Linked DNA regions of Arabidopsis thaliana. The protein of the gene in region 4 interacts with the protein of the main gene of each other region in a pairwise test. Each region holds a gene or a part of one and is shown on either strand. Other genes may lie near its edges.

Region 1 (3,704 bases), on a different chromosome or scaffold from region 4:
GTTTGTCTTTAAGACTTGTTATATTTCTTACAATATGTTTGTTATGTTCTCTGGTGTGTGTTTTGTTTTTTTTGGTATTACTTTCATATTTTTTTGGTCGAAGAGGACTTGTATTCGACAATGTCGCTTCAATTTTGTTGTTTCCTTAGAAACTAAATAAATATTGGTTTATATTGGAGTAAAATGTGTTTGTACTTTGTAGTTAATCGTTGAAAGTTTTGCCACTTATTGAGCTTTGTCTGCGAGAGTTGACTCGGAAGAATATTTGCACATTGTTCATAGAGAATCACATGATATCTCTTCTCTGGTGGATTAGGAACCAAACGCATCTTGTAAAAGTTTCCAGGTTGGAGATTCTGATTTCTGAGTGACACCTAACGATTCCATATTTAAAGCTTTATGTTTTTGTATGTCTCTCATTGCGATTGGTATTTTTTGTTTAAGTAAATATGCATAAATCCATTCGTAGAGGCATTCCTTACAGTACTAGTGACCACATATTAACCTTTTAGGTACGCACACCGAAGTTGGCTACATAACTTGGGTGAGTATTCCAATCTGTAATGTGAATAGTTTACCATATCACATATAGCTCTGATACCATAAAAAACTATATGTGAATAATATTAAAAATCTTATACACAAAATTTTCTTTTAAATGGTTAGTCTAATTGTAATTTAAAAATATCGAAATAATAAGTTGCAATTTTTTTTTTTTTTTTTTGGGTCTTTGAAAAGAAAATATAATGTCAAATACTTTAATTTTTCCAAGTAAATCGAAACATAAGATTGATATTTTTCTTTTATATAAGAAAATTAAATTAGATTTAATATTATTAAATGAGTGTTTCATATTATATTTTTCAGAAAAAGAGTTTTTATTAATTAACCAAATACCAATAATTTACTTAAAAACTTGTATTGAATCCAAATGTTTCCCAAAAAAAAAATATTTAATTGGGATTGACAAAAATAGCACCAACAAAATTTTTTCTTCCAAAAATAACAACTTTTTGAAAAATTTCACAAGTAGCTTTCAAAATTTTAATTAAATATTAAATATAAATAATTAATTTTATTTAAATAAATAAAAATAAAAATTTTCCGCTAAAAATTTTTCGTCAAATTTTCTGCCAAAACAATTCGGTAATAAATTTTCCCGCAAAAAAAATTTTCCGTCAAATTTTTCTTGTAAAAAAACTTGAGGAAGCTAACTACGACATTCGTGAGGATTTCACGGAATTCAGGAAAGATTTTACAAAAAAAATTTTCGTAAAATTCTTCCTGAATTTCGAAAAAGAAAAATTCGGGAATTCAGGAAAAATTCTACAAAATTCAGGAAGGGTTACAAAAGAAAAAAATTATAAATTTCGTGAAACCTTTCCTGAATTGCTTAAAATCTTTCCTATATTTTGTAAAAAAAATTCTGAATTTTTTTTTGTAGGTAAAATGTGGGCGGCGTAATTATTTTTGGTGGAAAAATTTTGACGGAAATTATTTTGTAGAAAAATATTGTTGAAAATTTTTGGTATGAATTTTTGTATTTTTTTAAATGTTAGTTGTAATAATTAAAAATTAAATAATTATTTGAGTGTTATTTATGTTCACAAAACTTTTGAATGGTATTTTTATCAAAAAAAACTTTAAAATTATGTTAATTATGAAAATTCTCTATTTAATTTTTTTCACCCAAATAAATAAATACATAAAAATGTCCAAATATTTGTGTGTTTCTCTTTTAATTATTGTTTCCCATTTAAAGTAAAAAAATCTGGTAGCAGCGTTACAATTCGCGAGAAAGACAAAACACAAGTTTCTTCTTCTTGGGATTGGCTATTTCCAGAAATCCAAGTCAATAATCAAAGTCCAAACAAAAAAATCCTCTCCCAATCTCCGCTTCACTCTTCTCATGGACGCTCTCATTGCTCAGCTTCAGAGACAATTTCGTGATTACACCATTTCTCTCTACCAACAGGTTTCAATTCCACAATTCTTCAAACCCAATTTCATCTCTTTGCTTAGCTAATTTAGCTCATATACACACTAGATTGACTCCTATATGCATAGATTCATGACAAAAGTGAAGAAAGATTGAATCTTTATGTAGATTTTTACAAGTTATGATTTTTAGGGATTTGAGTTGTGTAAAGGTTGGAACTTTAGATTCATGGGTTTGTGTTTTTTTTATGTGAAGGGGTTTTTGGATGATCAATTTACTGAGTTGAAAAAGCTACAAGATGATGGAAGTCCTGATTTTGTGTCTGAAGTGCTTTCACTTTTCTTTGAAGATTGTGTGAAGCTTATCAGTAACATGGCTAGAGCTTTGTAAGTTTTTGATATTCTCTCAGCTAGATCATCATTGCTTGTGTTGTCTTAAAGTGTGATTGTGGCTACTTCTATTTCAGGGACACGACAGGAACTGTAGATTTTAGTCAGGTAGGTGCTAGTGTGCATCAATTGAAGGGTAGTAGCTCAAGGTATGTATCATGTCTCGCTTTATATAAGTAGCAGAAGTTGTGTGTTGTTGATTGATGAAAAGCTTTGTGTTGTTTCTATGTAGTGTTGGTGCCAAGAGGGTCAAAACTTTGTGTGTTAGCTTCAAGGAATGTTGTGAAGCTAAGAACTACGAAGGGTAAGCGAGTTATGGTTTTCTCTTGGGACTCATTGGTTGAGTAATAATAGTCTCATGTTATGTTACAGGTGTGTGAGATGTTTGCAGCAAGTGGATATTGAGTACAAGGCGTTAAAGACAAAGCTTCAAGATATGTTCAATGTGAGTGTGAATAGAATCCATCTCTGTTTTTGGCTCTGCTTTTAATGAATCATTTTGGTTATGAGTAATGAACAAATCATTGACATTGTTGTTGTTGTTGTTGTTTCAGCTTGAGAAACAGATCATTCAAGCTGGTGGTATAGTTCCTCAAGTGGATATTAACTAAAGAGACTAGTCCATAAGAAGAAAAAAGATGATGACTTTCTTTCTTTAGTTTCTCTTCTAAATTATTTTGGATTTGGTGTTTGCTCAAAAACTCAATAAAATATGTGCAAAAAGAAACAAAAACAAGTGATGGTTGTTTATAAATCAGTAGTATGTATTGTTTGATCTCATCCGAGAAAATTGAAACCATTGGACTAATGAATGTGATGATAATATATATTGGTTTGCTTCTGAAAGGTTTGGTTTGAGTAAGATATAGTGATTACTAAGTAAGTCTTGACTAGTGGGTGCTTCTAAAAATTGTGTGTTTAGATCTTTTAGTTTCCCAAATTTGCCCATAATGTTTTCGTAATTATCTGAATTATTTGTCTCGAAGTTGACCTTTACTCAAATTAGTAAAAGTTTGGTAGTGACTTTCCAAATTTTTACAACCTGTCTCCTTATCAGAATATGAATATCGTAAACCCTAAAACCTAAATCTAAACCATTACCCATTCGATATCCGAAATGGACATTCTAAGAAAATATGGTAATTCTTTCAGGATAAATCACAAACCGCTTTCGACGAGATTACGGAGCATGTAGTTAATAAACGGGGAAAATGTCATTTAAATCATCACTTTACCATTTTCGTTGGTTTAAATCATGAACTTTGGATCTGGTGAATTAAATCTTTAATTTTATGTTGACTTTCAAATTAATCACAAATTCTTGTTGACTAAGCAAATTGAGACACAAATTCTTTTTTTCGATGTCGTCAATCGAC
Region 2 (4,226 bases), on a different chromosome or scaffold from region 4:
TAAGTTAGATCTCAAGTTTAAACATATGTATCAGTCTCTTTGATGGGAGACCAAAATCTCTTAATAGAGTTGTCTTTGCTTTCGTTTTCATTCGTTTATAGAGGAAGAAATAAGGTGACTGTGACCATTTGTATAACAATATGGATAAACTATTTTTAGTGGCATACTCTCGACTATAAGAAAAGATGCATCCAAGGAATATCAAATCTTCTTGATCAAAAGGTTATAACTTATAAAGAATGGACTAATATATATTTTAATTTGATCATATCTTAAGACTTACACCAAATCCAATTATTTTTTTTATAGAATATGAAAACATAAATAAACATCATTACTTGCCTCAGAAAAATAAAAGTAAAAAATAAAAATAAACATCATTATTAGAGATCATAAAAAAAATAATTTGCAGGGTATTCAGTGTGATCAATGATTTCGACAGATTTCAAGATCAATAATTTGTAGTTGGCTTCATTTGTTTGTAAACACATTTTGGAGGTGGTGATAAAACACATTCTTAGTGATGAAATAGATAAATACATTTCTAAATAGATGTAAATCAAATGATGGTTTGACTGGTTTGCATATAAAACATTTTCTAGAAGAAGTTATTAATCATATTTTAAACAAGAATTGTAATCATATACCATTCCCTCTCTCAAATTTGTTTTGAGCTTTTGTTAAAGTATGTATCTGTCTCTTTGATGGGAGACCAAATCAAATCTCATAATAGCGTTGTATGCTTTCGTTTTAATTCGTTTATAGAGGAAGAAATAAGGTGACAGTGTAGACCAATATGGTTAAGCTATTTTTAGTGGCATACTCTCGACTATGCATCCAAGGAAAATCAATCTTCTTGAACAAAAAGTTTATAACTTACAACTTATAAGAATGGACTAATATATCTTAAGACTTACACCAAATCCAATTACTTTGATAGAATATGAAAACATAAATGAACATCATTATTTGCCCAAAGAAAAATAAACATCATTATTAGAAATCATAGAAAAAATAATCCGGAGGGTATTTGGTGTGATCAATGATTTCGACAGATTTTAAAACCTTTTTTATTTTCTCCAGTAACTTATCTTGATCAATATTTTCTCCCTTCACTGCAAATACGTCGTCCATGATACCACAACTTATGACATCAACTCCTAATATAATAATAAAAAGATGACAATCATTCACATTGTTCAAAATTCGTTTGTTGAATATAATTGTTGGGTGTGTGTAGGTTTGTACCTGGAAAACCACCTGCAATTTTGAATCCTTTTCGCCATTTTTTTTCGGGATATCCTGGATGCTTGAATACAATCGTCATCGACTACAAACAATGAAATAAAACTAAAGCTTTAGTGAATTTATTATATAACCACATAAATAGGTTTACTAAGAAAAATAACTAACCATTTTTTGAAAAACTCAAAAGTTTGGAAGGAGAAGAGAAGATGATGGACAAGAATGTGATTACAAACTCGCTTGCTCATCAACCTCTATATATATTACTGAAAATTGATTTTTTTTGTTAAATAATCTATAAAAGTACATTTATCTCTCAATTTCACAATCTCTTTCGACATATGTCACAATTTCTCATAACAAATTTTTGACACAAAAATAGATTTATCTTCTTTTTTTTTTTGTTGAAACAACACAAAAATACATTTATCTCTCAAAGATTTTTTTGTTACAATATGGAGCAAATAAATTAATTAAACTGGAAATTATTTTAACAAGATAATATATGTAATTAATAAAAATATATGTTAATTTATAGAATTAACTAATCTGATAAAAATATATAAAGTAATCAAAGTTATAGTAAAAAAAAAAAAAAAATCAAAGTTATAGTAAATAATATTTAAACGTATGTCACAAAATTTACAAGATATAAACTTTTCAAAAAAGAGAGGATAAACCATCGTAAATATAAATACAACGAGTGTAAGTATTGGTTAATAAAATATTAAATATAGTTATCATCAAATAATTTGATAAACCCCCAATTCTTAATTCAATTCGACAAGATCATTTTGAGTTTCTCAGTCTCCGATACTGCCCAAACTTAAGGCCCATATTTAATGAACTCATTATAGGCCCAAAACAAAGCATATAAAGTCATCGTCTTCTCTAGTCCTGCGAAAACCCTAGTTTTTTGCTCTCTCGAAGTTCCGTGCGACTCTCTGCTCGAGCAAGATCTCCTACCGATACAATGGTAACACACAAGCTCTGCTTTTGATCTATTTCTCTATTCTCATCATATTCTCCGGTGTCTCAGAATGTTGTTTCGTTGAATTTTGACCATTTTCTTCTTCCTTCTTGCTCTCAGATTATCTCAGAGGCTAACCGCAAAGAAATCTGCAAGTACCTCTTCAAAGGTTCGTTCTTCTTAAATTTGTTCTTAGATCTCTGTTTTCTTCAGCTTCTGTGAGTAAATTGATTCATTTTTAGGCTTATGCCGATGAACATTGTGATTTTTGAACTAGTTTAGGTTAACTAGTTATGGTAGCAATTATGATGTTTGGCTTAGAAGGTGAACATTGTGTTGATTATCATATGTTCTATGATTTTTGCAGAAGGAGTTTGCTTTGCGAAGAAGGATTTCAATCTTGCTAAGCATCCGTTGATCGATGTCCCCAACCTACAAGTGATTAAGCTTATGCAGAGTTTCAAATCCAAGGAGTATGTTAGGGAGACATTTGCCTGGATGCATTACTATTGGTTTTTGACCAATGAAGGGATCGAGTTCTTGAGAACTTATCTTAATCTTCCATCTGATGTTGTTCCTGCTACTTTGAAGAAGTCAGCTAAGCCTGGTGGTCGTCCATTTGGTGGCCCACCTGGTGATCGCTCAAGGTGATTAACTCTTTGCTTAACCCATTTCATGTCTGGCAAAAACTTTTTTTTTTTTTAATTTGTTTGACATGGTTTGGGTTTCTTTGTATTTCAGAGGACCTCGCCATGAAGGAGGAGACCGTCCCAGGTTTGGTGACCGTGATGGGTACCGTGCAGGTCCTCGAGCTGGTGGTGAGTTTGGAGGTGAAAAGGGTGGAGCTCCCGCAGATTACCAGCCATCTTTCCAAGTAAATTCTCACTGACCATACCTTCTATTTACTTCTCTATCTCACCAACGTCATATAATGTGCTACTCTTGAAGTCTTTATCATAGAGCTCCTGAACCTGAGAAACCATGAACATATTTAGTCTCTCTTTATCACTTTAGTTACAAGGAACATAAATCTTTTACTTTAGCTGTGAAGTGTTTCAAAGTCTATAGTTATATAATTGCCTTGTGATTTGATTTACCCGCCTTCTCTTTGTTTGGTTGCCATTGTTCTAACATCCTTTCTTGTTTATCAGGGAAGTGGCCGTGGTTTTGGCCGTGGTGCTGGTGGCTACAGCGCAGCTGCACCATCTGGTTCAGGTTTGCCTTGAAAAAGAAATGTCTTTAGGTGACAGTAAGACCATGGAGGAGTTTTCAGCTTTAAATTTTGCTTTTGTAATTCAGATTCCGGAATCCTTCATAATCTCTATCTGAGTTTAGTTTTGTTGTTGAATCAAACATCCGATTTAAAGTTATGTTCATTCCATCTTCTCTCCCCTTTTCGAGCATGCGAGAATATGATTCCCCCTATTGAACAAATCAATCAACCTTTAAGCGATAACAAATTGGTGTTGTGAAAATTATTAACTTCTTGATCTCGTTTTGTCAGATCTAAAATTACTATAGCCAAGCTACCTTTCACGTCAAGTTGTCACTCCTATCTATTCCAGTGATCTTAGGAAGTCTATCTTTTGGAAGTCAAGTTTTACTCTAGGGAACCAAAAGATTTGTTCAGAAACAAGAAAAGTTCCTTAGCTGAATAACAAAAACTTGAATCAGTATTAGACAGACCCACCACACGATATAACAGACCTGACACAAACCCAACCCTAGAAGTAGTCACAATGTTCAAGTAACTCTAAAGATATAAAAAAAAAGACAAAGACATTTTGGAAAATCTTAAAACTCAGAACAACTCGACATATTAGAAGTTTTCAGAACCATAAGAGCAATTTCTTCATCTCTTAGTCGACTTCCTCCATCTTGCTCTCTTCAGCAGCGTCCTCCTCCAACTCAGGCATATCACCATCTTCCTCAACGTTCTCATCCTCATCAATACTCAGACCCAACTTCAACATCCTGTGAATCCTAGCAGCAAAAGTGTTCGGTTCATCAA
Region 3 (4,095 bases), on a different chromosome or scaffold from region 4:
ATAATGAATAAACTTTCCATAAATACAAAAATACTCGATTAGTGGAGTGTGCATCGCCAACAAAAAAGATTCTACGCAACGTGTCGAATCAGTACTTGTTCCTGAGTTCCTCCGTCACTAACCAGTGCGGACCATGTCAGTATCCAAGCACCCACACGCTCGTCGTCTCTTGAAAACATCTCACACAAATACACAACGGCTCGGACTAATAACTTGCCATCTAAGAAAAGCTAATTGACCTAAGGCTTTGTGGCACCTGCATGTAAAAAGCAAACACGAATTTGCCACGTTATTACAAAGCATACCACGTCACCGTCTCACTGTTACACTATCTCTTGTTCTCCTTTATTTCGCTATGGACAACAAAAATTATAAGGTGGGGAAGAGATGTCTCAAAATACTTTTTTATCGTCCTCTCAATTTATGTAACTGATAATAATCGAAATAGATAAATTTAATTGTAGGTTGACAAAGCGCTAATTTTAATAAAAACATATATTAGTTTGGAAAATTTTGTCGTAGTAAGTAATTAAACCTATCAATCTTGACTAATAATTTCAAGTATCCCATAAAAATCAAAATTGTCCTTAGGTTTTGAAATTGTACTACTGATAGTACGTAATTAAACAAACAAAAGCTATAGCTTGTGGATTATAGCTAATCCCATTTGGCGATGAGAGTAATATATATATTGTTCAAATAAAGTTGTAATTAAGATTCGATTGAAAAGGTAAATTATAGTTTAAGAAAAACAAAGAGAGGAGACAACAATTAAAAAAATGAAAAGTGGAGAACTGTACTCTCGCCTATACGAGGAGGTCATTATCTCCAAGGCTCTCAAGGATTAAGGACCATGCTTTGATTCTATAAATGTTGTTTTATTCAAACTATTTATATTATTATATCATACGTAATATGTGGTTAGCATTTGACCCACGTCCCCTTAATTAAGTCTAGATTAATCCCATTAATCTATCCAATTAATAATTAGGAAAATTTTATATAAGATTGCTATTGGATTTCTCGGTGGTGGTTTAAACTATAAAATAGTAATGCCTTTGATGCGTGTGATTTTTTATTGGAACTTATTGGTTTTAATTCTTAACCTAGCAATTATATTTGTAGTAGTTTATGTTAATCATTGTTTAATAATACTCCTATAATAACTCTTGCAAGTAGCAACACTTGTGTGGCTATTTATTCCAGAGTCCATGGATATGTATGTATAAGAAAATAGGAGTGCTTTTGCAGATTGAAGAGTTTGTCTATAAAATCATGTTTACTTGGCATTTAGTGTTATTGTTTGCAATTTTTTATTTTAAATTAGTCGGATATTTTAAGTTAAAATCTGAATACACAGCATGTTCCTTCTAACGTTTTTTAACATAATTGTAAACTAAAGAAAAATTATAATATAATAAATTAAATTATACCCTCTCTATTCATTGTAGAAGATTTGTTTGTTTCACCAAATGTGTTTTTTTTTTATAAGTTGCTCTCACTCTTGAGAGTTTTGGAGTATTTTGAAGAGGACGAGGTTCTTTTGTGAAAAAGTGAAAGAAACAAATCATGTCAAGAATTAGAAAGAAATCATGACAAATAATTTTGTTTGTGCAGAAATTACAAATGAATCATAGATATCCTTCTAATTCGGGATCGGAAACCAGTTGAAAAATCGATGGACTAAGCTTTCTATATTGGGACTAGCTTACCCTTAGAATTAGTCAAGCAGCTTAAATCATCTATGACTTAAAATTATAATTAAGAAAAAACAATGCCTAAATATGCATATATTTCAAATGTATCACATAACTTGTGACATAAGAAAATATAAACAAAACAAAAAGGGCAAAAAAGACCTGAAAGCTTAGAGGCACACCTGCATAGGTCCCACAGTTCACTCGTGACACCGTAAAAGGCAAAACACGAACCCGCCACGTTATCACAAAAAGCAAGCCACGTCAATATAGTCTCACTGTCAACTACACTTAACTTACTATTTTCACATCTCATTTTCCTATCTTTATATAAACCCTCCAGGCTCCTCTTTAATTTCTTTACCACCACCAACAACAAACATATAAACCATAAGGAAAACAGAGAAAGAGAGAGATGGAGGACGACAATAGTAACAACAACAACAACAACAACGTGATCGCACCTTTCATCGTGAAAACATATCAGATGGTCAATGATCCTTCCACCGATTGGCTCATCACTTGGGGACCTGCTCACAACAGTTTCATAGTCGTTGATCCACTCGACTTCTCGCAACGAATCTTACCTGCTTATTTCAAACACAACAATTTCAGCAGTTTTGTTCGTCAACTCAACACCTATGTAAGTTAATTCATAACCGAAACTCATACATGAAACTGGAAACAGGGGATTACGAACTAATGATCCTTTCTTTATTTACTTTAGGGGTTTAGGAAAGTGGATCCGGACCGGTGGGAGTTTGCGAACGAGCATTTTCTAAGGGGACAGAAGCATTTGTTGAATAACATAGCGCGTAGGAAACACGCGCGGGGGATGTACGGTCAAGATTTGGAGGACGGTGAGATTGTGAGGGAGATCGAACGGTTAAAAGAAGAGCAGAGGGAGCTAGAGGCAGAGATTCAGAGGATGAACCGGAGGATCGAAGCGACGGAGAAGAGACCGGAGCAGATGATGGCGTTTCTTTACAAAGTCGTTGAAGATCCTGATCTTCTTCCAAGAATGATGCTCGAGAAAGAACGGACAAAGCAACAACAACAAGTTTCCGACAAGAAGAAGCGTCGTGTCACGATGTCGACGGTGAAGTCAGAGGAAGAAGAAGTGGAAGAAGATGAAGGGAGGGTCTTTAGGGTTATGTCATCATCAACACCGTCGCCGTCATCAACGGAGAATCTTTACCGGAATCATTCACCGGATGGGTGGATTGTTCCTATGACGCAAGGACAGTTTGGTAGTTACGAGACGGGTTTGGTGGCGAAGTCGATGCTCTCGAATTCAACGTCGTCGACGTCATCATCTTTGACGTCGACGTTTTCTTTGCCGGAGAGTGTTAACGGAGGAGGAGGAGGAGGATGTGGGAGTATTCAGGGAGAAAGAAGGTATAAAGAAACGGCGACGTTTGGAGGAGTGGTAGAGTCAAATCCACCAACAACACCGCCTTATCCATTTTCTCTGTTTCGAGGTGGCTTTTAGCGTTTAGCTTCACATGATATATGATCTTTAGACTTTATTATTGTTATATTATTATTATTATTTATTTTTTGTGTGTTTGTTCTTAATTATTTTATGTATAACCAAAAGAAAGAAAGAAAATAAGGACAGATCCATAGTTGAGTCAGTAGTCATCGTTTGTAGAAAGTTTTGACAGTATATAATTTCTGATTATATTTGTTAAAAGTTCATATGTTGACTTTGTTTTCCTTTTAAAAGTACTTTCAGGTGACTTGTGTAATATATTCACACTTGTAATAACAACAATTTTGATCTTCTTCACTACTTCAGTGTTTTGATTTTTGAATAAAGTATTATTGTAGCCTTATATCTTTGTAATAACAACAAAATATAGGCTTTACTTTTTCCACTTTAAGCTAGTAATTAAGTCTATATACCATTTCAAATTTATCGTTAATGGCCATCTTTAAACTAAACCATATCGAGTATTTGACTCTTTCTCTTGAAACACTTGTTCTCAAACACATTAACGAATCAGTTGACATGGTATATAGACTTACTAGCTTATATAACCCACATGCTTAAAGCTGATCATAAAGTAGAAGAAACATTGCCTATATATAACCCACGTGGTTAAGGCGACACAAGTCGGTCGACTGATAACAAGTCAACGAGACATCCATTCAAGATTCAAACGTATCATCAACACGACGCTCCACTTTCACTTTCATCTAAAATTGATAACATGACATTGTTAAATTTTGAGACGTGACAGTTAGCCACGGGACTTTGGTCGGCCAACAACGTTTCGAACACTCATTGGGCTAGAGAGAGAGAGAGTATAAAACAACGATAAATCTAAATTGGACCACCTGATGTCTCTCACACGAGGACGCGTGGTTATACCAGATAATCGCAAAATCTCTT
Region 4 (4,310 bases):
TTGATAGCTATTTGGAAGAGGTAATGTATGACTTTTTATATGGATTGTCCATTGAATCAGTGGGCAGCTTTAAATTAATGAATTATGTAACAATGGGCAGGTCCAACGAAAAGTTATAGAGCGAGGAGAGATATCCGTAGAGGATGAAATCGCGGATTCAGTATTCATGAAGGTTAGTTAAGAGTGTATCCAGTTGTGTGAACTGATATGTGAAGTTGTCTGTAGAATAATCTTAATCTTACTGGTTTGTTATTGATGTTCAGTCATACATACCGAAATCTCTGGATGCTGTGAACAACCCTGAGGCTGACGTGGCTAAGATAACAAGCGGGCAGGACACAGGAGACATGCTATACCAAACGATAACGGGGCTTAAGGATGCTCTTCCTAAAATAGAAGAGCAGAAAATAGAGGTGAATGATGAAGAGAAAGAAGAGGAAGGAGAGGAAGAAGAAGACGGAGAAAGTGAAGAAGGAAGTGAGGAAGAAGAGAGTGAAGAAGAATTGGGTCATGAAGACAAGAAAGCTGCAAGGAAAGAGCACAAGAAGAAAGTGAAAGAGGAGAAACGAGAGTCTAGGAAGACGAAGACACCCAAATCTGTCAAGAAGCGAAAGAAGAAAGTCTCTAAACCACACAAGACTCGTTAATCCGAGTTAGAAGTTTTGACACCCCAACTTGTATTTTTATTTATATTTTGAAATTTTGTGTCAAATTCTGGGAAATCGAGTATGGACCCAAAGCTCTCTATATTTCCAAAAATAGCAAGTTCTTGTAATATTCATAGTATGACTTTATTATAGAGCCCGAAATTGGTTTGCTGCTGTTTCAAGAATAGGATTCAAATTTCTGTTCCTTTCCTCACATCCCTAACCAACTTGACAATTCGAATAATGGTTGTGTCTAAATTTATCAACTCAAGTTTTGAGATTGTTGGCTTATAGTATGAAAATTCTAATCCTGCAACTAGTTTATTTACAACATTTTTTCTTTGTTTAATGAGTTCTTGATTTTATACAGTTTAGTGTTTATGAGCTTTTCTTCTTAAGCCTCTGTTTCCATAGTTTATATCTTAATACGTGTTTTCTCTTTCTTTTGGAGCTTTGATTATCTCTTTTAAACTATGTTTTCGAAGATATCTTTGTTTTCTGCCGGTTTTGTAAGATCGGAAAATATATTTTTATTTTATAATATTAATAAAAAAGATGACAAAACAAAAAATAATGATTTTCTTTCAAACTTAATGAACATAAAAAAAAGGGAAACGAAATCTTATTTTGCCTAGCTGACATAATTAACTAATGCAACTAAATGTAGGTAGGATTAAGTAAACAAAAATATGAGACAAAATTAAACATGCCAACCTCCAGGGCATAGTCAATGGGTCAAGTCAAGCGAAAGTTGGTCTGGATCTTACAATGCAACTTAATGTAAAGTACTCATTTTTCTTCGACATGGGACATCCGCCGAAATTGTTGATTTTTGATCCATCTTTACACTTGTTTTCTCCGATTACAACAAAACATAACAATTCGACTACGATTTAACACCTAACCTTTTTAATTTTTTAGGACACGCATTTAGTATTTACGATGCAAGCCAACAAATTTAATCCAACGTATTAAACACAACTTGCTTTTTGTCAATACGTATTAAATTAAATAGTTTTCTTGCAATTTTTGTTTACACATTTCATTAGTATTGTTTTTTTCCAATATTTTTGTTTCTATGTTCAATCACTATCATATGCATAATACACATTATAATTTTGGCACAATTAGAATTACACACAAGGATTTTATAAATGTTTTTAAAATGATTTACAAAAGATTTTATAAAAATTTTACAAAAGTTTTTAAAAGATTTAATAAAAGTTTTAAAACGATTTTACAAAGAGTTTTAAAAACTTTTAAAGGTTTTAAAGAAAGTTTATGAGAATTTACAAGAATTGTAAAAGATTTATAATAATTTTTTTAGAATTAGAAAGGAGACCCTCATTTTCCACCCAAATCGTCAACCTTCTCATAATTGACAAGTTATTACACTCTCTCCACTTACTAGTTACTATAAAACCAAAGGAGACCAAATCTCTTAGCAATTATGAATTTGGTCTTCGCTATAATCTCACGTTACATTAAATTGGCTCCTGTGAACCTAAATTTATGGACTATGATCCCAACACCAATCCGTTCGACCTTCATTTCTCCGGTAAACTTCCGGTGAGTTTTTCAATTTCTTCGAAAATTTCACTTCAATTTTCGAGGTTGTGGTGATTATTCGTGGTGTTCATATATATTTTATTGCCTGATTTAGAAAAGAGAAGTCTCGGCTTCAGCTTCTAAAGTTGTAGAGAAGAAATGGTTAGTGAAAGATGAGGTTAGTTCTTTCATCGAACACTTTGGTGTGCAATACTTTGACCTCAAAATTTTTGACTATGAGTGAATGGATTAGGTTGATCAAGTTCTCATATCTGATTTAGACATTGAATAGTTTGTTTAGATCGGTGATGCTCAAAAGTTGAACAAATCAAAGCTTTGTCTTACAGCTTAGTTTGGTAATGGTGATTTTCATTTTACACAGAAGAGAAATATGCTACAAGATGAAATAAACCGGGTTAATTCGGAGAACAAGAAGCTAACCGAAATGTTAGCAAGAGTCTGTGAGAAGTACTATGCTCTTAATAATCTTATGGAGGAGTTGCAGAGTCGAAAGAGTCCTGAAAGTGTTAACTTTCAGAACAAACAGCTAACGGGGAAACGAAAACAAGAACTTGATGAGTTTGTTAGCTCCCCAATTGGACTCAGTCTCGGACCAATCGAGAACATCACCAACGATAAAGCGACGGTTTCAACCGCTTACTTTGCTGCTGAGAAGTCTGACACAAGCTTGGTAAGGAGATTTCTACTACAAGTATCGTTCTTTGAGTGTATTGATTTGTTAACGAATGTTTTGTGGATATACGTTACTTGTAGACTGTGAAAGATGGATATCAATGGAGGAAATACGGGCAAAAGATTACGAGAGATAATCCATCTCCTAGAGCTTACTTCAGATGCTCGTTTTCACCGTCTTGTCTAGTCAAGAAGAAGGTACTTTGGTTTAAACTTTGTTAAAGAGTTCTTCGATATCATCTTGCTGTCTGATTAAATTCCCTAGTTGTGTGTGCGCTTGTTTAGGTGCAACGAAGTGCAGAAGATCCATCTTTCTTGGTAGCCACTTACGAAGGGACACATAACCACACCGGACCACATGCAAGTGTGTCCAGGACAGTGAAACTTGATCTAGTTCAAGGTGGGCTTGAACCAGTTGAGGAAAAGAAAGAGAGAGGGACGATTCAAGAGGTTTTGGTGCAACAAATGGCTTCTTCGTTGACCAAAGATCCTAAGTTCACTGCAGCTCTTGCGACTGCTATTTCCGGGAGATTGATAGAGCATTCAAGAACATGAAAGTTCTCTAGAACATGTATATTTCTGTTTTGTTCTATTTTGTTGCTCATTCCTAGTAAAAAGGTAAAGATTTGTTTGATCTTGATTAGGAGGCATAGATGTCAATTTTAATGTGTGTGTATATAATTACATCAAATCTAAGTATCCAAAAAGGGTCACCCCCATTTTATCTTATGTTGAAAGAGTTTTGTTATAGCTCGGTGTAAGTATGGTAGATTGACGCTGCTTCGACAGTTTATGTATCTTCCAATGTTATCTTGTTCAGTTGTTTGTATTAACTTCCATTAGAGAAGAATGTGATGCCATTACAGACATAAAAGAAACAGAGAAACCCGGAAACAGAGTAAAACCACGAAAAACAGAGTCGGTTTAAGAGAACCAAACCAAAATAACCGGTACAGCTATAAAAAGCCAAGAAGAAAAATTATGAACCGAGTCCAAATTAGGTTACGGTTAGCTTCCAATCCCAACTTCTTCTTCTTCTTCATCTGTGTTTAGTCCCAAATTGAAGAATCAAAAGTTTCGTGTTTTGAGAATTTGACAAAAATTTGTTTATGTAATCTTAGTTTTCGCTGATTTTGAGTAAGTTATCGACATGGATATTGATGTCGGACCAGTTGATCCATCTGTCCTATACGAGCAAGACCTCCATGTTTCTTCTGCTGTTTGGGAAGGACAGGTTTTTTTCTTAATTCCCTTGCTAAATTTCAGATTTTGAATTTAGGGTTAATCTTATTTCCCCTTACTTACCTTAGGAACGAGGTCTACTTCGTTGTCAAGAACACACTTCATTGCTACATCAATGGAAACTCACTGATGAACAAATTAACCTCGTGGACAAAGCTGGTTTCGGTTACTTTCGCAAAA

The links.
Region 1: the proteins of WRKY60 (region 4) and AHP2 interact in binary tests that used the Arabidopsis thaliana proteins (3 or more experiments, as listed by UniProt).
Region 2: the proteins of WRKY60 (region 4) and AT5G52650 interact in binary tests that used the Arabidopsis thaliana proteins (3 or more experiments, as listed by UniProt).
Region 3: the proteins of WRKY60 (region 4) and HSFC1 interact in binary tests that used the Arabidopsis thaliana proteins (3 or more experiments, as listed by UniProt).

What each region holds. Positions count from the first base shown.
Region 1 is NC_003074.8:11,263,614-11,267,317, reverse strand, and holds AHP2 (histidine-containing phosphotransmitter 2), read left to right. Parts: upstream 1-1,755; 5' UTR 1,756-1,909; coding exon 1,910-1,975; intron 1,976-2,194; coding exon 2,195-2,325; intron 2,326-2,405; coding exon 2,406-2,477; intron 2,478-2,560; coding exon 2,561-2,632; coding exon of another isoform or gene 2,633-2,636; exon of another isoform or gene 2,637-2,687; intron 2,688-2,700; coding exon 2,701-2,773; intron 2,774-2,882; coding exon 2,883-2,939; 3' UTR 2,940-3,192; downstream 3,193-3,704. UniProt on the Arabidopsis thaliana protein: Functions as a two-component phosphorelay mediators between cytokinin sensor histidine kinases and response regulator (B-type ARRs). Plays an important role in propagating cytokinin signal transduction through the multistep His-to-Asp phosphorelay.
Region 2 is NC_003076.8:21,354,996-21,359,221, reverse strand, and holds AT5G52650 (RNA binding Plectin/S10 domain-containing protein), read left to right. Parts: upstream 1-2,002; 5' UTR 2,003-2,218; coding exon 2,219-2,221; intron 2,222-2,335; coding exon 2,336-2,384; intron 2,385-2,582; coding exon 2,583-2,862; intron 2,863-2,956; coding exon 2,957-3,089; intron 3,090-3,366; coding exon 3,367-3,441; 3' UTR 3,442-3,681; downstream 3,682-4,226. Other genes in the region: AT5G52655 (uncharacterized protein), read right to left, coding at 997-1,160, 1,249-1,330, 1,414-1,416; HSP90.1 (heat shock-like protein), read right to left, coding at 4,075-4,226.
Region 3 is NC_003074.8:8,939,343-8,943,437, forward strand, and holds HSFC1 (heat shock transcription factor C1), read left to right. Parts: upstream 1-1,723; 5' UTR 1,724-2,112; coding exon 2,113-2,340; intron 2,341-2,369; exon of another isoform or gene 2,370-2,424; coding exon 2,425-3,189; 3' UTR 3,190-3,532; downstream 3,533-4,095. UniProt on the Arabidopsis thaliana protein: Transcriptional regulator that specifically binds DNA sequence 5'-AGAAnnTTCT-3' known as heat shock promoter elements (HSE).
Region 4 is NC_003071.7:10,627,653-10,631,962, forward strand, and holds WRKY60 (WRKY DNA-binding protein 60), read left to right. Parts: upstream 1-2,009; 5' UTR 2,010-2,159; coding exon 2,160-2,216; exon of another isoform or gene 2,217-2,310; coding exon 2,311-2,373; exon of another isoform or gene 2,374-2,577; coding exon 2,578-2,886; intron 2,887-2,969; coding exon 2,970-3,086; intron 3,087-3,173; coding exon 3,174-3,443; 3' UTR 3,444-3,761; downstream 3,762-4,310. Other genes in the region: AT2G24990 (Serine/threonine-protein kinase Rio1), read left to right, coding at 1-20, 101-172, 264-647; AT2G25010 (Aminotransferase-like, plant mobile domain family protein), read left to right, coding at 4,039-4,122, 4,199-4,310. UniProt on the Arabidopsis thaliana protein: Transcription factor. Interacts specifically with the W box (5'-(T)TGAC[CT]-3'), a frequently occurring elicitor-responsive cis-acting element.